4 linked regions of the Canis lupus familiaris genome follow. The protein of the gene in region 3 interacts with the protein of the main gene of each other region in a pairwise test. Links are inferred from orthologs where the notes say so. Each region holds a gene or a part of one and is shown on either strand. Other genes may lie near its edges. The genes, in order: PPP1CA, NXT1, STAU1 and LONRF1.

The links.
Region 1: the proteins of STAU1 (region 3) and PPP1CA interact in a two-hybrid assay, tested with the Homo sapiens proteins (2 studies listed by BioGRID and IntAct). The link is inferred for Canis lupus familiaris from reciprocal best matches to the Homo sapiens genes STAU1 and PPP1CA.
Region 2: the proteins of STAU1 (region 3) and NXT1 interact in binary tests that used the Homo sapiens proteins (3 or more experiments, as listed by UniProt). The two-hybrid records come from large-scale screens. The link is inferred for Canis lupus familiaris from reciprocal best matches to the Homo sapiens genes STAU1 and NXT1.
Region 4: the proteins of STAU1 (region 3) and LONRF1 interact in binary tests that used the Homo sapiens proteins (3 or more experiments, as listed by UniProt). The two-hybrid records come from large-scale screens. The link is inferred for Canis lupus familiaris from reciprocal best matches to the Homo sapiens genes STAU1 and LONRF1.

The regions. Positions count from the first base shown.
Region 1 is NC_049239.1:50,564,252-50,569,777, reverse strand, and holds PPP1CA (serine/threonine-protein phosphatase PP1-alpha catalytic subunit), read right to left. Parts: upstream 3,174-5,526; 5' UTR 3,078-3,173; coding exon 3,023-3,077; intron 2,498-3,022; coding exon 2,366-2,497; intron 2,210-2,365; coding exon 1,979-2,209; intron 1,423-1,978; coding exon 1,318-1,422; intron 1,122-1,317; coding exon 898-1,121; intron 815-897; coding exon 680-814; intron 603-679; coding exon 492-602; 3' UTR 359-491; downstream 1-358. Other genes in the region: TBC1D10C (carabin), read left to right, coding at 4,352-4,596, 5,345-5,444. UniProt on the Homo sapiens protein: Protein phosphatase that associates with over 200 regulatory proteins to form highly specific holoenzymes which dephosphorylate hundreds of biological targets.
Region 2 is NC_049245.1:673,537-678,926, reverse strand, and holds the start of NXT1 (NTF2-related export protein 1), read left to right. Parts: upstream 1-2,174; 5' UTR 2,175-2,619; intron 2,620-3,020; exon of another isoform or gene 3,021-3,149; 5' UTR 3,150-3,221; intron 3,222-3,857; exon of another isoform or gene 3,858-3,877; intron 3,878-5,229; 5' UTR 5,230-5,282; coding exon 5,283-5,390.
Region 3 is NC_049245.1:36,470,171-36,475,096, forward strand, and holds part of STAU1 (double-stranded RNA-binding protein Staufen homolog 1), read right to left. Parts: intron 3,569-4,926; 5' UTR 3,485-3,568; coding exon 3,280-3,484; intron 1,495-3,279; coding exon 1,370-1,494; intron 1-1,369. UniProt on the Homo sapiens protein: Binds double-stranded RNA (regardless of the sequence) and tubulin.
Region 4 is NC_049237.1:37,041,791-37,046,466, forward strand, and holds part of LONRF1 (LON peptidase N-terminal domain and RING finger protein 1), read right to left. Parts: intron 2,489-4,676; coding exon 2,336-2,488; intron 795-2,335; exon of another isoform or gene 744-794; intron 1-743.

The sequences.
Region 1 (5,526 bases), on a different chromosome or scaffold from region 3:
CCAGCTTGGAATTCTAAGCCCCCATGGACCTGAGCCTATGGCTGGGATTGCCCTAGCTGGGGCCCCATGCCCAGCATGCCTATCCTCCCAAGCAGCCCTGGACAGAAGGGCTGCCAGGCCCAGTATTTGGGACAAGGGAGACAGAGGCCATGGCGAGAATCCAGCTTTGACCTTTATTCAAGAGACCAGATGGGTTGCCCCAGGATCTGTCGGCCAGCCCTGAGGCCAAGCAAGGCTGGAAACCCACATCTGGCCCTGCTTTGCCCTGAGCTGCAGCCTCAGCCCCAGGATCCTGCTTGCCACCACTATAGCAGGCGGAAGGGGCCCTGGGGGATTGGACGCTGCTATTGATTCATTAAAAAAAAAAAAAAATACACCAAGGCTCCGTGTTCCCCGTGACAGGTGGGCCTGGGGGGCCAGCGTGAACCCCCTATGGCCACGTAATTTCTGTACAAATCCACCATCTGGGGCAGAGTGCGGGCACGCGGAGGCTATTTCTTGGCTTTGGCGGAGTTGCGGGGTGGGGTGATGGGCCGGCCTCCAGGGTTCAAGCCACTGAATTGCCCGTATTTCCCCTTGTTCTTGTCAGCGGGCTTGAGTATCTAAAAAAGACAAGAGCTGGTCAAACTCATGGGCTAAGCCACAGGGTCACCAGCCCCCCTCCTTCCCCCATCCCAACCTGGAAGGAGCACATGAGTGTCTCATCCACACTCATCATGGCGCCTGCATTGTCAAACTCGCCACAGTAGTTGGGAGCCGAGAAGAGAGTCACCAGCTGCCGCTTGGCAAAGAATTCATAGCCATCTTCTACCACCTGGATGAGGATGGGGGCAGTTTGTTCAGCAGGTGCTGGCTACCCAGGCCCCACTCCCACCCGCCCCAGAGCTGCCAGCCCACCTGGTGTGCCCGGCAGATGAGGTCCAAGTCGTGCTTGTGCAGGAATTTGGCCACTACCTCAGCCCCAAAGGTAAAGGAGACACCACGGTCATTCTCGCCCCAGCCCTGCACGTCCTTGTCAGGGTCAGACCACAGCAGGTCGCACAGCAGGCCCTGGTCCGGCACGTCTGTAGGCCGCATGATACGCCGAATCTGCTCCATGGACTGCAGGTCTGGGGACAGGCCTGGGGGAGGGCAGGTTACTTGCTTAAGCCTCAAAACAAAGAGTGACATGCAAACCAAGACCACTGGGAGAGGTCTTCCAGGTGACGGGGAAGACATCCTCCAGCTAACAGCCTCATCCCAGGGCTCCCCGGGATGTGGCCCAGGGCTCTTCCTTCCCAAAGAACCCTTCAACATGTACCCTAGAGCCACTCTCACCTCCATGGCAGCAGAAGATCTTCTCATCCACGATGGCAGCAATGGGCAGGCAGTTGAAGCAGTCAGTAAAGGTCTTCCACAGTTTAATATTGTAGCGTCTCTTGCCTGCTGGGAGGAAGGAGATGCCTCATGAGGCCTATCTGCCCCACAGCCAGCCTGGGTCTTGAGGCCCTCCAGACACAGCTGGGAGAAGAGAATGGCAGACAAGAAGAGAATCCCCCCTCCCCCGACTCCGCTGCCTACCAGCCTTCCAGGAATTCTAAAGCAGCTAGGTCCAGAGGAACCTGAGTTCCAATCCGAAACAACCCACCCGCACCCAGTGAGCAGGGCCAGGCCAAGACTAGGCCTGGTTTATCTCAGCTTCTGGTTGGTAGGATCCAGTCCAAATAGGCATCCCAAGTGCCTAATGGATGTCCTGGAGGGGAGTGTCATGAGGCAGGGCCCTGCATTAGAACATGGGCAGTCCTCAGCAGTCACTCCCCAGACCCCTCCTGCGTGCCGGCCCCACGGCAGGAGGGCAGGCAGAGAGGCACCAACTGGTGTGCACCCTTCGCAGAGCTCGCGGTCTGTGGGTAGTGGTCAGACACCAATTCCCCTACTGCCAGGCCTATGTGAGGGTCTCCCCGAAAAGGGAAGTCACTTAAGGACTTGGGCTACTCACACTCATCGTAGAAGCCATAGATGCGGTTGATGCTAGCACACTCATGGTTCCCACGGAGCAGGAAGAAGTTTTCGGGGTACTTGATCTTATAGGCCAGCAGCAAGCAGATGGTTTCCAAAGACTGCTTGCCCCGGTCCACGTAGTCCCCCAGGAAGAGGTAGTTGCTCTCTGGAGGGAAGCCACCATACTCGAAGAGCCGCAGAAGGTCGTAGTACTGGCCATGGATGTCACCTGTAACCCAGGGAACCGGTTCAGCGCTAGGTGCAGGGGCTACACTTGAACCCAGGGCCAAGTTCGGGCTCCAGGGAGCAGCAATGCAAGGACTGGGCGGGGTGAAGTGGGGATTCCACTTTCAGAAAGCCAAAGGGATCTGGGCAGCAGACTCACCGCAGATCTTGAGGGGTGCCTCCAGCTCCAAAAGAATGGGCTGGCTCAGGAAAATCTCCCGTGATTTGAGGCACAGACCACGGATCTCGTTCTCTGTTAGCTGTACATTCTTTCCAGGCCGCGAGCCCTGCACTGTGGGAGGAATGGGGTGTCAAGACTCTGGTCCCTCAGGCAGGAGGAAGGTGGGCGACACAAGTGGCCCTATGGGCACATCTGAGGGCGCCTGGGCCTCCTAGGCCCCTCCCTGCCTAGGGGCAGCTGTTGCTGGTGAGCCTCCCAGGACCTCCGCCTCTGGCCTCCCAGGATGGGACCCCCTCGAGGGGGTGTGCTGTGCGCGGGGGCCTGCCACCCAACACCCCACCCATAGCGCAGGACCCCTGGGAGGGGTGGAGCTAGGCTTCTTAGGTTTCTCCCTCACTCCCAATAGCGCAGGCCAACCCGTGCGCCCCCCGCCCAGGAGGGGGGCTGCTCCCCGTGCCAGAGCGTCCCCGGAACCCCCCTCCCCCGGCGCGCCGCGACTCGGGGGGCGGCTGTGGCCACGGGACCTTGCGGCCCGTCCCCGCCCAGTCTAAGCTGGCCCGGGGAGGGGCAGGCCCGCCCGCGCACCACTTCCGGGCCAGGGCGCGGCGGGCACCGACCTCCCCGGCCCCGGCCAACCTTCCAGCAGGCGCCCGATGATGGAGTCCAGGTTGAGCTTCTCACTGTCGGACATGGCGGCGCCGCCGCTCCGCCCCAGCAGCTCCGGGCCCGCTCCTGCCGCCCTCCCTCCCGCCCGCTGCCTCCTTCCGGCCTGGCGCTCCTTCCGCCCGCCCCGGCCCGCCCCGGCCTGCCGCCCCGCCTCCCCGGCCCGCCGCCCCGCCCTGCGCGCTGCCCCCGCGCTCTAGCGCTCCCGCCGGACACCGCGCGCAGCGGCCGCGGCGGCCCGGGGGGCGGGGCATAGGGGACGGGGCGGGGCTCGGGCTGAGCTCGGCCGTCGGGACGGAGCCCGGCCGGTGGGTGGAGCTCGGAGGGCGGGGTCGAGTCTGGTCCCGCCCCCGAGGAGTTACCCGAGTCCAGTTCCGAGAATATGGGGCCGGAAGTGCTGTGGGAGTTGTTTGTCTCTGTCAGACGCTAACCCACCCCCTGGGCGGGAGCGTGGTATGAGCACATTAATAACCGATGCTCCAGACACTGCGGATCAAGTCCTCGAAGTGCAGAAAAGGAAACGGAGACTCAAGAGATAGCAGGGGGGTGGGTTGGTCCAAAACCCTGGCCTCACATTCACGGGGGGCCTCCACCTCCTGAGTCTCTGCGGCCCTCAAGGCAGCTGGCCAGACCCAGGCACCTGCCGCGGCGCTCTGAACCCATCTTGGTCCACGCTGTGCTGCACGCTGAACTAATTTTTGTAAGTTCCGTTATTGCCTGCTGAGTGCATAATAACGCTGCGTTAGGTATATATTCAAAGCATTACTTGTAAAGAGCAAATATTAAATAAACGAGAATTCTCACTGGAATCTTGAATTGTTTTAACCTCAAAACTGGAGGGGCCTGGCCTCTGTAACTCGGGTGGGTCCTGGACTGGTCACACCCTGCTCTGGAGCCCAAGCCTGCAGCCACCCAGCCCATGGGGAGGGTGGGAGGAGCCCACGGTCCTGGGGGCACTGGGGCAGGCCGGAAGAGCCTCAGAGAGGAAGAGGTGACCCCCCCACACACTTGGGAGGGGAGTGTGGGAGGGGCCCCCCAGCCGGTGGCTGAAGCTGCTGAGAAGGAGGAAGTGAGAGGAGGAGGTGAGGTGCAGCAGGGAGGTAAGCTGGCCTGGGGGGGCAGGGGCTGGGCCTGGGGACCAGCCTCTACACAGAGGTCTGGCTTTTCTGCCATTTCAAGGCTCACTCTCACCCTCACCCTCCCACCCCGATAAAAGAGGGGACAGAGGGGGCTTGGTGAGATGCCCTGAAGTCTGTGCCCTCTGAACCCTGCAGCCAGGTCCCCGGGCTGGGGACCGGCTGGATGGGAGCTCAGGCCCCAGGCTGGTCAGAAGCTGCCTCTCACACTGGCTTTCCCCACATCTTGCAGCCTGTGGTAGCTTGGGTCTGGGGCACCATGGCCCAGGCCCTGGGGGAGGACCTGGTACAACCTTTCGAGCTGCAGGATGACTCAAGCTCTTTGGGGTCCGACTCAGAGCTGAGTGGGCCTGGCCCATATCGCCAGGCTGATCGCTATGGCTTCATTGGGGGCAGCTCAGCAGAGCCAGGGTAAGTGGGGAAGGGATGAGGGGCAGTGGGGTGCTGGGAGTGAGGATGGGGGTTGAGGGCTGAATTCTAGAGACAGGCTCAACTCCTAGGGTCCTAGAGGGCCTGGGGACTCAGCCAGTGTCCCTACTCCTCATGTTCCAGGAGGAATCCTAAAGCTGGTAGGGCTGCGGCAAGAGTGTCCCTCATGTGTCTCTTTGACTCCCAATCTCCCAGCCTTTGCACCTATCCTTGGGGCCAGATATCCTTCTGCTTTTAATCCCTGCCATGATAATCCCAGAACCAAACCAAAGAACCCACACCTCTATCCCTACCATCTTCCTTTCCAGATATACAGACAGGAAAACAATTCCAGATAGGAGCTTGCCCAAGGTCACACGGCAGATCAGATAGAATCAGGTTCAAACTCAGGACTCCTAGCTTCTAGCCCTTGGCTCTGGCCACCTGCCTCTCTTATGAGTTGTCTGTGTTCCTGTCCTGGAGGACAGCCACCTGGCCCCTGCCCTCCCCCAACACACACCTACACACCCCCTTCAGCCTCTCCTGCTTCTGCCCACATCAGAGCCACATTTTCTCCTGTCCCTATGACAACCACTGGCAACTCCTGGGTGATAGGTTACCCCCCACCCGGGGCTCCCTAGAGATCCCCACAACCAGGAGCTGAGTTTACCCGGGTAGCATGGAAGGTGGCAGAGGTGGGCTCTGGGTGAGAGCCAGCCAACGCCTCGATGCCTGTGCCTTGTGCCCACAGGCCAGGTCACCCTCCTGCAGACCTTATCCGCCAGCGGGAGATGAAGTGGGTGGAGATGACCTCACACTGGGAGAAAACCATGTCTCGGCGGTACAAGAAGGTGAGGGGACAATGGGACTCTTCAGTCATCCCCCTTTGCCTCTGCCTATGCCCTGGCAAAATTTACCCATCCTGTGTCCCTA
Region 2 (5,390 bases), about 36 Mb from region 3:
AGCTCCACGTGGTGGGGAGGAGCACCCAGCCGAGACCCCTCCTCGGGCAGAGCTCCACGTGGCAGGGGGAGCACCCAGCCGAGAGCCCTCCTCGGGCAGAGCTCCACGTGGTGGGGGGGAGCACCCAGCCGAGACCCCTCCTCGGGCAGAGCTCCACGTGGTGGGGGGGAGCACCCAGCCGAGACACCTCCTCGGGCAGAGCTCCACGTGGTGAGGAGGAGCACCCAGCCGAGACCCCTCCTCGGGCAGAGCTGCACGTGGTGGGGGGGGGAGCACCCAGCCGAGACCCCTCCTCGGGCAGAGCTCCACGTGGTGGGGGGGAGCACCCAGCCGAGACACCTCCTCGGGCAGAGCTGCACGTGGTGAGGAGGAGCACCCAGCCGAGACCCCTCCTCGGGCAGAGCTCCACGTGGTGGGGGGGAGCACCCAACCGAGACCCCTCCTCGGGCAGAGCTCCACGTGGTGGGGGGGAGCACCCAGCCGAGACCCCTCCTCGGGCAGAGCTCCACGTGGCAGGGGGAGCACCCAGCCGAGAGCCCTCCTCGGGCAGAGCTCCACGTGGTGGGGGGGAGCACCCAGCCGAGACCCCTCCTCGGGCAGAGCTGCACGTGGTGGGGAGGAGCACCCAGCCGAGACCCCTCCTCGGGCAGAGCTCCACGTGGTGGGGGGAGCACCCAGCCGAGAGCCCTCCTCGGGCGAGCTCCACGTGGTGGGGAGGAGCACCCAGCCGAGACCCCTCCTCGGGCAGAGCTCCACGTGGTGGGGGGGAGCACCCAGCCGAGACCCCTCCTCGGGCAGAGCTCCACGTGGTGGGGGGGAGCACCCAGCCGAGAGCCCTCCTCGGGCGAGCTCCACGTGGTGGGGAGGAGCACCCAGCCGAGACCCCTCCTCGGGCAGAGCTGCACGTGGTGGGGGGAGCACCCAGCCGAGAGCCCTCCTCGGGCAGAGCTGCACGTGGTGGGGGGGGGAGCACCCAGCCGAGACCCCTCCTCGGGCAGAGCTGCACGTGGTGGGGGGGAGCACCCAGACGAGACCCCTCCTCGGGCGAGCTCCACGTGGTGGGGGGAGCACCCAGCCGAGAGCCCTCCTCGGGCAGAGCTCCACGTGGTGGGGGGGAGCACCCAGCCGAGACCCCTCCTCGGGCGAGCTCCACGTGGTGAGGAGGAGCACCCAGCCGAGGCCCCTCCTCGGGCAGAGCTCCACGTGGTGGGGGGAGCACCCAGCCGAGAGCCCTCCTCGGGCAGAGCTGCACGTGGTGGGGGGGGGAGCACCCAGCCGAGACCCCTCCTCCGGCAGAGCTGCACGTGGTGGTGGGGGGAGCACCCAGCCGAGACACCTCCTCGGGCAGAGCTCCACGTGGTGAGGAGGAGCACCCAGCCGAGACCCCTCCTCGGGCAGAGCTCCACGTGGTGGGGGGGAGCACCCAGCCGAGACCCCTCCTCGGGCAGAGCTCCACGTGGTGGGGGGGAGCACCCAGCCGAGACCCCTCCTCGGGCGAGCTCCACGTGGTGGGGAGGAGCACCCAGCCGAGACCCCTCCTCGGGCAGAGCTCCACGTGGTGGGGAGGAGCACCCAGCCGAGACCCCTCCTCGGGCGAGCTCCACGTGGTGGGGGGAGCACCCAGCCGAGAGCCCTCCTCAGGCAGAGCTCCCCAGGGGCTCGGCGGAGTCCGTGTTCCCGGCGCCCCACCTGCCGTGCCTGTGTGAAAGCCTCCGTGGGTCACTGCCTGCTTCTAGTGCTGGCTTTCCGAGATAGCATCAAGTCGTCTATTAATAGAATTTCCCCGACTGCAGGTGAATGGAGGTCATAGGGCAAGAACCTGAGGTCGCCGCACAGACTCCTCCCCATCCTCTCCAGTCCGGCGGCCTCCACTGCGCGGGACACACCTCTCCCGGTTCTTGCTCCGGGGGCGGGACCTGGGATATTTCATCCAATCAAGAAACCCACGTGACCAATCGGACCGGGTCCTATGCCTAGTTAAGCCAATGAAAACCCGACCGCTGATTTTCTGTGGCCTTCTGGGAAAGCGCCTCTCCCGGAAGCCACCGTGTCCTTTGCGCCACACCTGGGCGGGGCCAGCCTCCAGGTCCTCCGTCCGGTTGGCTGACACAGCTGCCTGTCAAGCGGAGGCGGGAGGGGGCGGAGCCGCGGGCACCGGCGTCTGCGCAGCGCGGGGCGGGCCGCGCGCGGGAGGCTGCGGAGGGCGGCTGCGGAGGCGGCTGCGGGTCCCCGGCCGGGCTCAGGGGTCTCGACGACCCTGGTGGGTCCGGGAAGAAGGGTGGCAGAGGGCGGCGCTCCCGGCCCTCCCTGAAGCGAGCGGCGGAGGACCTCCAGCCTGGGCAGGCCCGCCCTGCGACCTCCGTGGAGCCGGGGGCCGTGCGGGGCGAGCCGCCGCCCACGCGGGCCGGGAGACGCCGACCCCGGCGCCGACCCCGGCCCCCGCCGCGCAGGGAGGCCCCCAGAGGCCCCCAGCGTCCCCCGCGGCCCGCAGGCCGACGACCGCAGGCCCGGCCCGGGGGCTCCGGAGACGCCTCCCGCGTGCATCCCCGCCCGTCCGCGTCGTCGGCGCTCGGCCGGGCCCCGCCGCGTCCCTGTGCTGTGCTGGCGGCGCCGCCCCAGGTCAGTACGCCGTGCCCGGCGCTTGGCGGCGGGCTCCGTCGCGGGGGAAGCCGGGGCAGTGCGGCAGGTCCGGGCCGAGGACCCGGCGGGCGGGCGGGCGGGCGGGCGGGTGCGAAGCGCCTGGCGCCGGGATGAGGCCTGTGGCGTGGTCTCTGGTCCAGCGCCTAGGACCTGCCGACGGAGGCCTCGAGGGAAGGCGGCGGCCTCGCGGCCTCGTTCTTAGCTCACTTCCGACGTTTCTTATCCCGGATTGGATGGAGGAGGGGAGCCGTCGGCGCTGTGGGCAGCAGCAGCGCGGGGGAGGAGCCGGTGCCTCCCCTCCGCGCCGGGACCGGTGCTGGGCTGGGCTTGGGAGTCGCCCCGGCCGGTAGAGCAGGGGTGGGCAGGGCGCCCGCGGAACGACTCGAGGCTGCGGAGGGCCCGGCGCGCCGGGGAGCCCCGTGGGGTCAGGGGCCGGGCCCTGGAGGGGAGCTTCAAGCCAGCGGCAGGCCCCGAGCGGTGCTCTCAGAGACTCGACTTCCTACCTGCAGGGACGCGCAGGGTGACAAGGGAAGGACAGCGGAGGCCTGACGTTTTCAGAGGCCACCAGCATTCTTAGGAAGGTAAATCAGGCGCGTGCTTGCCGTCAGACCGTGATCCAACCCCTGTCTCCCTTCTCATTTTTAAGATTGTGTGTCCTTTTGTGGTGACCGTCGAAGGAGGTGATGTATTCAAAGTAGGCGGCAGATACCCAGCTCGCAACCTGTCCGCTGAGGCTTGACTCTGGGTCCAAAGGGGGAGTGCAGAGACCTCGGGCTGTGTCTGCTCCTCTCTCTCCTCATTTCTAGGACTGAGCTCCTTGCCTGCTCTTTACAGTTCTTTACTCCAGGGCAGAGGCCTCCTCCTTGTGCACCCTCCTCTTTCCCAACTCTTTGAAATCTTTTCTCTATTTCATGAGCTGATATTTAAAAAAAGAAGTTAAGGTCTTTGAAACAAACATTCATTAAGTGTATATCTAAACGTATCCATTATCTTAGTAATAGTCCCGTGAATTTTTTCTTTTATTTAAATATTTCATTTTTAAAAATTTTATTAAAGATTTATTTATTTGAGGAAGAGCACAGGCACGTGCACCTGCACAAGTAGGAGGAGGGGCAGAGGAAGAAGCAGGCTGCCATCTGAGCAGGGAGCAGGCTGGGGCTGGGATGGGGCCTGACCCCAGCACCTTGGGATCACAACCAGCCCTGAAGGCAGATGCTTAACCAGCTGAGCCACCCAGGTACCCCACTTCTAGTGAAATATTTTAATGATGCAAAGAAGAGCAGGGAACTGTAACAGTTGTACCATACTTTGAGACTATCAAATAATAATATTTCTTTATGCTTTGGGGCTTTTTTTTTTTTTTTTTTAAGGAAATGTGACATTTCAGCCACAGTTGAGTTTCTTTTTTTTGTTGCCACCACCTCCATCCTCAATCCATACAACTTACGTGATTCTTGTATTTATTTATTTTTGAGATTTTTATTTATTTGAGACGGTGGGGGAGAGAAGCAGAAGGAGAGTAACAAACCAATTCTGCTGCAAGCTCAGAGCTGGATGCAAGGCTGGATCCCATGACCCTGAGATCATGACCTGTGCTGAAATTAAGAGTTGGACACGTAACAAACAGAGCCACCCAGGTGTCCCAGAACTTGCCTTTCCATTTTTAACTTGTCTTTCCATTTTGGCTCACAGAACTTGCCTTGTAGGTATTTGTGCTCATGGAAGCTAGGTGCCCTCCCTTCTCATTCCCAGTAGCTGAAGGTTAGCCGTGTCATGAGGATCTTGACCACTATTTTGGTACCATGCTAGTGACATTTGTTCTCTTATCTTAGAAAACCTGCCTTCTCTTTGCTCTCCCACTATCTGTTGGGTGAGCTCATGATAGGCTTTCATCTTAGACTGTCAGCAGCTGACAAGCATATGCCTTCTGACTGGTGTTTATTGGGCCACTGCTCCCTTCATTGTGGTCCACTATCTTTTTTTTTTTTTTTTTTTTTTTTTTTTAATTTATGATAGTCACACAGAGAGAGAGAGAGGCAGAGACACAGGCAGAGGGAGAAGCAGGCTCCATGCACCGGGAGCCCAACGTGGGACTCGATCCCGGTCTCCAGGATCGTGCCCTGGGCCAAAGGCAGGCGCTAAACCGCCGCACCACCCAGGGATCCCATGTGGTCCACTATCTTTATCCAGGATCCATTGTTTCTCCACTTTTCTAGGGGCAGTCACACCTGGTCCACGCTTCCAGGAAAAAGTGACCATACATAGGCAAATGTACTATCTTTTATAAAATGAGATTTTTAAAATTCCTAGTAATAGCTAACATTTTTTGAATATGTAGATAACAGGCTTTTTAACTAAGCACTGTCTTGTTTAATTCTCACATTACAACTATGTCACAAGTGGTGCTATTTCCATTTTTAAATGAGCAAACCGAGGCATTGTAAGATGAGGTGTCGCAAAATTTGAGCCTAGAGTCATCTCTCTACAGTCTGTAATTGTTTTGCCACTGGGAGAAAATAATTATTCCATTGTCAGGGCAGAACGAACTTGGACATTCACGGGGTTCTCTTCAACCTTCCTGCTCCACAGCCCCGGCTCCCTCAGGCACAGGCACACCTGGGCCTCCTTTGGCAGGGCTGGAGATGGCGTCAGTGGACTTCAAGACCTACGTGGATCAGGCCTGCAGAGCTGCTGAGGAGTTTGTGAACGTGTACTACACTACCATGGATAAGCGGCGGCGCCTGCTGTCC
Region 3 (4,926 bases):
TAAAGTTTAAGTGAGAAAGTACGTATTTCAAAAAATACCGAAAACAGTTAATAAAGGGAATCCCAAAGTTAAGGTCTGCAAAAAAAATCCTGTAGAAGAAACAGAACAGTTATAGAAAATCACGAATTGCCTTCCAAAAGTAAAGAAACATTTCAAATATGATCATGCTTTAGAATAATGTTAAAACTCGCTTCATGTGAGTACAAATTTGTTTCTTTTTTTTTTTTCTTCAAATTTCTGTTTCTTAAATGCGTAATAGCTACCATTTCTGAAGGACTTATTAACTGCCAGGCATTGTGCTCCACACTTTAATACATAGTCTCTCGTTTAATTCTCACAGTAGACCTACTTGGGTAGGTATTATCCCCATTTTACAGATGAGGAGACTAAGGTTCAAAAAAGTAGTAGTTTACCCAAGGTCACATAGCTAGAAGAAACTGAGATTTAAACCCAGATCTGTCTGACACCAAAGGCGACTCACCTAACTACACTATGGTGCCTATTTAGGATTGCCGCTGATGTTACTTTTAGTCAAATGAAAAGAAACTTGTTATCATTCAAGGTTTGAGGTTTGCATGTCAAGAAAAATGAGGCATAAAGAGACCAATAACTCATCCTTAATTATATTCTCTTTACTGCAAAGCTAGGATCGGAAATAGAGGCCCAATTCCTTTTCTCTGATACCATACCCTCTCTCACACTGCAGCTGCAAAGATAAAGCCAGATATGCACACATTTAAGTTCCAAGATTTACATTAGTACAGATATCAAGCAAGCTTCAAAGACTGAATTCCTGAATAACAAATAGTAAACATTTAAATTACAGTCAGTCTTCCATTCTCTAAGATATGGGGAAAGACAAGGATAAGTGAAATCAGAGACAATCCAAAGGACTCACTTTGAGACTAATTTCTACCTCTCATCTTCAAACCTTTTACCTGGATTGCTAACAAGTGGCAAAATGGATTTCCTGTTCCCCTCTCCCTGCCCAGTCTAAGGTACACATGCAAGGAAGCAGGAAAGGAGCCAGAGCAGGCTGTAGCCAGGAGGCCCAGAGCCTGGAAAACTCACAGGAAATCATTCACAGGTGCTTGGGAATTGTCTCTATTCAGAATCCTAAAGACAATCACACACTAACTGGAGTTTTAAAAGCCACATATCCCAAAAAGAAGCATGTCTTTTCTTTGACCCATTCTGCAAGGATGAAGAGAAGCGAATTGCCAAAATCTCTACTTTTGCATCTCTTGAAGATAGCCTCAGTGACTGGAAAGCATGTATTCTGCATCACAGCACCACTTGGAACAGCATAAAAAGACAGAAAACATTCCTGGTGGGTTATAAATGCACAAGCAGTATGGACAATATTTACCTTACAGTGAGCTGGACCTTGCTCACGCAAAAGCTTATACTCAGGCTGAATCTTGTTGAAACGGGCTAACTCATTCACAAGACACATTGGGGTTTTCTCTTTGGGGTGTGCCATGCTAGAAGGAACTGAAAAATAACGTAAGAGCAATGAAGTCAACCAGCAGTATATAGGACTGCTGCTCTCCCGGGGACATGAAAAAAGAGGGAAAGCAGAAGGTCTAAGGATTCAGAGCAGCAGTGATGCACAACTGCAAACCACATGGTGGCGCCTGCTTGAAGACACAGCTGGGGTCTTCTCTGAACCGGCTGAAGCCAGGGAACCTAGGAAAGTGTGTCTTCCCAAGAGAGAGAACCGAGGCCAGGGGGAATAACTAAACCATGGCAGCAAGCAAGATTTGAAATCAGATGAAGCACTGTTATTATAACCAACCACGGGAATTACACAGAGGTCTTGTGAGCACAGACACACTGGTTACCACAACAGCTGTCAGCCGGACCCTGTCGGTTATTGCACAAAACTCAACGTGCCAATGCCATTTCTCAAACAACGACTGTCATTTCCCACATGGCTAACTTCTCGTTCCAGGGGCACCCCTAGTCTTATCTCCAGAGGCTGCCATCCTCAGATCTTATCTACTTCTGAGAATTATACAAGTAAAATAAAACAGCCTTGGAGGTGGGAGTTTTACAAGTCAGTAGGATGTGGATGTAAGAGCACATTAGAAGAAAAAAGCAGTAAATCCCAGAGGACTGAAACAGTCTGTGACATTTCCTTTGAAGATGGTCTCCAATGGCAAATTTGGGGAAAACTGAATCCTGAATCTATTGGGTACGATGACAAGTCAAGATTGCTCTCCGGTGAGCCAGTCCAAGGAAGCCTAGAGGTAGTGTGACAGATGTTGTGCAGCTGAGAGAGGGACGAGCCAACACTCTAAGACAGATTTATAAAGTGAAGGAAATGAGAAATGAAGGAGGAAATGCAAGGGAAACTGTCAGGCACAAGGGGTTGAAAGAATTTGTTAGAAGGTGACTCTGCTATGGAGACACCCATGCTGGCACCCCATTTAATTGGTTTTGCCACTTTGGGGAAAGGTTGGAAAGCAGAATATTGTTTTCAGAATTGTTTATTTTTCAGGTGTTTCAAATCTTTTCTCATCAATGAGCAGATTTATTTATAAATTTTTAAAAACATAATCTCTAAACCCAACGTGGGCCTTGAACTTATAACCCCAATATCAAGGGTCACATGTTATTCAGACTGAGCTGGCCAGGTGCTCCATCAATGAGCACACTTAGTTCATTTTTATTTTCCTAACAGATTTAAATGCTTCTAAACTTATTTCCTCTTCAAAAATCTCTGCTTCTTTGGTTCAATTTTTAATTGGTCCTCACTGTGACTTCTAAACTACGTCTGGAATCTCAAACTTACTTGTTCAAAATAAAAATTAACAAATGCCAATGCACTCTCTTGCTTTCCAGTGAATCTGGCTGCTCCCTTGCTTGGGATATAATCTTTATACACATCTAAAACAGGGGCTTTCACATACAAAGATTGTCAGTTCTGGGAAATAATTTTAAAAGCAGAATTTTCCCATACAACAAAACATATCCAGAGTGGTATTTACTGTTCAATCCTTTCTGTTGGCCACCATTTTTTAATAAGTTTGGTTTTATAGTTTAGTTTACAATTCCCTTTCTTACACTTTGAAATGGTCTGTCAACTCAGGCCTCCGTCAACCCAGTATACAACCAAGTGTTTTACATCTGGAACAAAGAAGTGTGGGTGTTAATACTTTCTTCTGCTTCTGGAAGGTAATGTGAGAGCTCCCTACATCTGCAATCTACTTATCAGATCAAAAAACAGGCTAAGAAAACATTTGAAAAAGAAGACACTCGGATTCATACGCTTACCTGCAGCTGCACTGGTGGGTGTAATAGATGCAGAGGGTAAAGCAGAGTTTTGAATAGGTCTACCTGCATTTTCAGAGGGCAGAGAGCTAGTAGTAGAAGGAATACTCATCAAAGGCTGTGAGAGGAGAGACTGGTTCTTGTTCAGTATTTGGCTCCCTGAGAGAGCAGCAGATGGGTTCTGAACTTGCACTTGAACTTGAGACATGGTCACTTTCAACAAAAGTGAACAACTGCAGGTAAACAGCTTTCAGTGCAGGTTAATTCAGTGCTATGAAGTCTAAAGTTCTACCTAAAAGTTGTAAGGGAAAGAAAATAAAAAGGTAAATTATAGAGGAGATATGTAATTGCCAATATTCAGTCAAAATTGGTGTCACCTACTCAAGAATGAAAATAGTCCCACTGAGCTTGTAGCTATGCTGATGTATTAGAAGTGTGTTCCCCTCGGTACACAGTGAAGTTCCTGGCCTTGTGACTTTCTGACAGTGCTTTTAAATGACTTGCAATACCCATATGCTCTGCATGTTTATTTTATAAAGAGCACCAGTAGGGTTTAATGACATTCATTGTTGAAAATTAAGAATTACAAACTACAGCCTGTATTCAAAATGTCTAATTAAAAAAATGTGGGGGAAAAAAAGGAAAAAAAAAACTAAAAAAAAAAAAAAAAAAAAAAGGTACGGAGAGGCTTTCCATACTATATGGGATACGGTAAAGATTTCTTGTCTCAAAATTATCAGAAGGTGAAAGCACACTTGGTTCCTAAGACCATTAGTGTGTGAATGTACACACTGCTTCCACTGAAGGGCCACGTGCTCAGGCTGGCACCCTTACAGTTTTCCTTTAAGCTGACTGAAGAAAGACAGGAATTTCTTACTTCTACTGTTTCTTTTTCCTTATGACAATAAAAGATCTTTTTCCTATGAGGTTTGAGATGGTCTCATTAGTTACAGACCCCAAATAAAACTTGCATCTACACCAACATGCAAGATCCTGAGAAATTATTTGAATAGTAAAGAACATTCTATAATGTTTGTATGATTAAAAGCAAAGGTGGAAAAGATGAAAAAGAGAGGAACAGATTTCAGACTAGCAATTTCACTAGTGTGGATGGGAGTGGAACCCAGGAAGCAGAGGAAATGGTCTACTTCACCTTCTAAGTTCCAAAGGCATTATTTCTGAATACATTTAAATTTCTTCATAAGTCAAAGGTAAGGACTGTTCTGCTTACAGTCATGGACACCATTCAAATAGATGAATGTATTTAAGCGAGCCAAAAGTACCCCCAAATAACCAGTAACAACAACGAGTAGAAAAGCTAACCAAAACAGAAACCAGCAAATAAATCAGAATTTCTATTACAAAGTAATGGTTACTTTAGTTTTTTTTAAAGTCTCAAAATAATTTTTAATTAAAGCTGGACCTTTGGAAAGAGATGAACAATCAGAGCAATTAGGTAACTTGAGGAATTCGGGCACATTCTCTCTTGATGAGAGCAAAAAGAACTGTAAAACTAAAAAGAACCCCAACACCTCAGGTCAAACATGACTTTGGATATAGAGACAGAAGCATCATCTTATTCACCAAAATCGTCCATAATGCAGTTATTCCTTGTTTACTTTTTGGAGTCAGAACAAAGGAACAGAGGAG
Region 4 (4,676 bases), on a different chromosome or scaffold from region 3:
AGTTTATAGTATTAATAAAATACACATCTATGTAACCAACAAGCTACTTTTCATTGAGCACTTTACTATGTGTCGGCTCCTACCTCAAATTCTTTTAACAATCATGTAAGGAAGGTTATTATACCCATATAAACCGGGGAAACTGAACACCAGAAATATAAATTGCCTAAGACTGAAACCAGTCCTGACTCTATGGCCAGGACGCTTCCCTCTGCACCGCACCGCCTTAGAGCAGGGTCTCTCAACTTCAGGCCTGTGCCTTCTAGCATGTTCAGCATTATCTCTAGCCTCTATCCAATAAGATGCCAGTAGCAGCACCTCAACTGTGACAGTGAAAAATATCTCCAGTTTCATGAGTGAAGTATTAAATGTGAAGAGACAAACATGAATTGAAGTAGCAAGAGAAAAAGTTGGTGAGCTGTCACTGCCAAATGTGCTACGGAGGCAAAACCATCCTAATTAAATATCAATTAAGTTAAAAATGTCTTCAAAGAACTATGAAATTCTAGGCAACATATAAAAGGTCTCAGCCTCCAGTTTTGCTTGAAAAAATAAACATTGCCAGCAAAGAAGTCCTTCTGATGTTATAAGGGCTATATCTGATGGCTAACGAAAGAACTTGGAATTTATACAGAAGAATTTTTAAGTCACTTCTACTGCACACTGGATTGCTTCTTATTGAACCTGAAACCTGGTTCAAAATGACAAAAACCGCTCCTGAGATCAATGTTGTATCCCTCCAGATTCTTCGAGAGTCAAACCAGAGTTGCTGTATTTTTGGACTATGTTTTCAGGTCAGTATCACTACCACCTCCTTCTTGCATTTCAGAGAGGTCAGAAACATTTCCCAGAATCCCCTCTCTCAGACAGTTCTTGGTTAGACTTGGCAAAGGAGAGGCATACTTCTGTGAGATGTGGAAGTTGGAAGAGAAGAAACCATTGTTCTCCAGAGACTGTTGTAAAGTGTTGGCAGATCCGCAGAGCCTTCCTGAGAATACTTAAGAACCACCTGCTACAGTGTTACAGACTGCTGCTAATAGGTGCCTCCCTGGGATTCCTAAGAATTACAGAAACTTCCCTGCATGTTCTGGAGGAGATGGTGCTTTACTGGTGTCAGGCTGAGAGATCTATGGTGGCAGCTCCCTGTCTCCCATCAGTGATGTCCCTGATCTTCACTCTTGCAGCTCTGCCAACAGCTGTGTCAACTCTACATCCTACAATAAACTTTTCAGCCTGGATTATACAGAGTGGCTGCTTTTGCTTTCATGACCAAATACTGATCTACAATAATAATACTAGAAAGCAAGGGCAGAGGACTGAATAATAAAAGGGGAAGGTGGTGAAAGGAATGTTGAGTTTTTACATTTAAAATTTACTTGCTCAATTTTATGATCAAAGGCTATCTCTATCAAGTTTACTCAGATTCTGGTAGCCTGGATAAAACAAATGTGTGGCAACTAGTCTGTAAGACACACAATGAGTACCCATTTGGAGATGGTCTGATGTTAGTTCAGGTCCAGGTGAAGGATTCAACTGGGAATCAGACAGACTTGGACCATCCTTTGAAAACTAGGATGAGAAGCAGTGTCCATCACAGTGGGATCTATTCTCTCTCCCTCTTCATATATTTATTTATAGCCAATACATTATGAAATCTGCTAACATAACCATGTTATTCAATTCAAAATGCTTAGGCCTAAAAGTTGGTGTTTGGATAGGTCTATCATCAGACTTTTCAGAATGGGGATACTTCTTCTTGTGCATCTTATGGTACCCTACTGCACATGTTTGCTTGCACAGAAAGTGCCTCAGTACTTGAGCAAGACCATCAGAACAATGGTTTCATGAGGAGTGAAGTATGAAATGTGAAAATGAATTGAAGTAGGAAAAAAGGAATTGAATTGAAGAAGGAAAAAAGTTGGAGATGAAAGAAGACTTCTAGAAAGTATATAAAATGATGCATCTCCCAACTGTCAAAGAAGCTGACTGCTCCCAGGCCAACTAGGTCTCTTAATCACGATTTACTAGGTAGTATTATTTTACCAGAATGTTCCACTATTAATTCCTTATCTCTCCTTCGAGCAAATCCTCGGGTAAGGGCTTCTTCCTTCTATGCAATGACGGCTACAGCTACCTCAGCTGATAACTCTGTCCATCCCCTTCCTAGACAAACTGTAGTGGGTACCACTGATCTGGAGACTACGGTCATGATTTTAAAGACAGCAGGGACAAAGGGAATGCTGTGCCAAAGGGGGAAAAAAACTTAAAAATCCACTAATTTGAGTTTATTTAAAAAAAAGTGAGACTTTTGGAAACAATATCAAAGCCATCATACCTGAAGGTTTTCCTCCCTCCCAGGCATTGAGCCAAAGTGTTGAAGAATTTGGCTTCGAAATCTGTCTCTTAAATTCTGAAACCAGCTGCAGGCTTGTGAGTATACCAAATCATGAAGCTGTCTGAGATTCTTGATCTCTTCTTCATTCTCAACCTAGAAGGTACAATAGTCAGTAAGACTTGTGTCTATCTAGTCTTCCTACCCATTACCACTAGCCTTATAGAAATGAAAAAATAATTTTAAAATAGGCAATACCTATTTCATTGCTGGATCAGAGTATTATGCAATACATATTATGTACTTCTGCCTCACACAGTGCCAATGGCCAGACTGAAACATCAGCTGAGCACCCCACCTTGGCGGTGGAGCAATGTAATACTGCAGAACCCTACCACCAGCCCCCAACTGAGAGCAGTACCACTGAGAGTGAATTCTTGGGTAAAGGTCTACATGAATTTGGAATTCCTTTTTGTCTTTATGGATTAATGGCTTTTGAAAACAGTGAACAAAAAAGAATATAGCTGCTACAATAAAAGGGAAAACGGGGGAAGTTTAACGCAGAGATAACATGGCAGAAAGCATTAACAGGATGGAGAATAAGCATAATTACACCTTTTAGCAAGGAACCGGGTCAAAACAACAAGAAACTAAAGCCAGTATATCAAAAGATAGAGAATAAATTATGCCACGATGAACTGCTTGCTGTTAAGGCCAAGGCTGTGGCTACTTCCTGAATCCCTCAGACTACTGGATCACTAAACTGCAAACACAAAATTGAATGCATCAGTCTTACAGTCTAAGATCCAAAAGGAGTAGCTTCACAGAGCACAGGAGAGAAAATGGGAGCATTAACACATCCATCTTACATTGATTTCTTTAGCACACACTTCTATACCACTTGCTACGTGCCAGGGAGTGCTCTATTTCACATACATTAACTCATCTGAACAAATACCAGCCCTGACTCAGCCTTTCATACTTCAAGAATGACTCACCATAAAAAACAACAAAGGAACTCTGAAAACATTTTATTTTTGAAAGATTTGAAATGAAAAAACTAAAAAGCACTTGCTTTTTGCATAATGTGAATGTACTTAATGCCTCTGAACTGTAGACTTAAAAATGATTAAACTGGTAAATTATGTTAATAAAAAGGTAGAGAGAAGCCATACAGTTGAAGAATTCTGCTTTTGGAATGACTACACAAGATTCAGTCCCCTGCTACCACACATTGGTCTTGATATAAGCTAGAAATAAACTTGTGACTTGTTAAAACTATTAAAAAAGAAAACTGCTACTTTGCACCCTTACAAAATTCAAGGAAACAAACCACGAGCTCTAGAAAACAAGGAATGACAAAAATGATAAGTGCCTGAGATGGAAAAAGGAGCTGGCTAAAAAGCAAGCCGAACTTTAAATCTTCATTAGAAATCACAGAAAATAGAATTACTACACTAAGGAAAAAAAGAAAAGATTTTGCTATAAGAAACAAATTTGAGAGGCTCTTCCAGAAGAGACATCATTATATAGATGAGGCATTAAGACCAGGAAAAATTATTAGACATTCCTAAGATTACAAAGACAACTGTTTCTAAACATCAAATCTATAATGCTTTCAATATGCTATTCTGTTGTCCCATATTTACATTTAATCATATGACTGGCCATACACTCAAGGGATTTTGTCATCAAATCCAAATGTGAAGATGTAAGCTTACAAAAAGCTAAAATGAGGCATTACTTTTACGAAGAATATTGCCTTTAGCAAATGATTCTATTAACCAAGCATGCCTGAGGCACAGACAGTATCATATCAAAATTTAAACTCACACAATCTGTTTGGCCCATTGCACAAAGAAAAGTGTCCCCATGGCATCTTAATAATAGGATAGGCAATATCAGACTAATCGAGTTTACCAGAGAGGCAATTATGGCATAATGATAAAGCACAGCACTTGGGAGCCAGAGAGCTAGCTTTAAGTCATTTTCATTACTCTACCTAAAGGATCTTAGGCAAATTAACACTTTTTTGTTTTTTTACCTTCCCTCATCTGCTGAGTTTTGAAAATTCAATGAGCTAATGTTTACAGAAATGCCTAATGCCAATATTCAGTAAGCAAATAAAAGGAAAGGCCCAAATAAGTCAGTGAACAGCAAAAGCATAAGATCAATGGTTTTATAATGCCCTTCCAAAGGAAACTGCCTTTAATTTGATATTGATAGCATCACAAATCCTTTTTCTGGTACTCAAACTAATCACAGATGGTGATTAGATACTGGAAACATCAAAAAGGCCACATAACCCTGTCCACGAAGATTATCACAATAAGCCTCCCTAGGT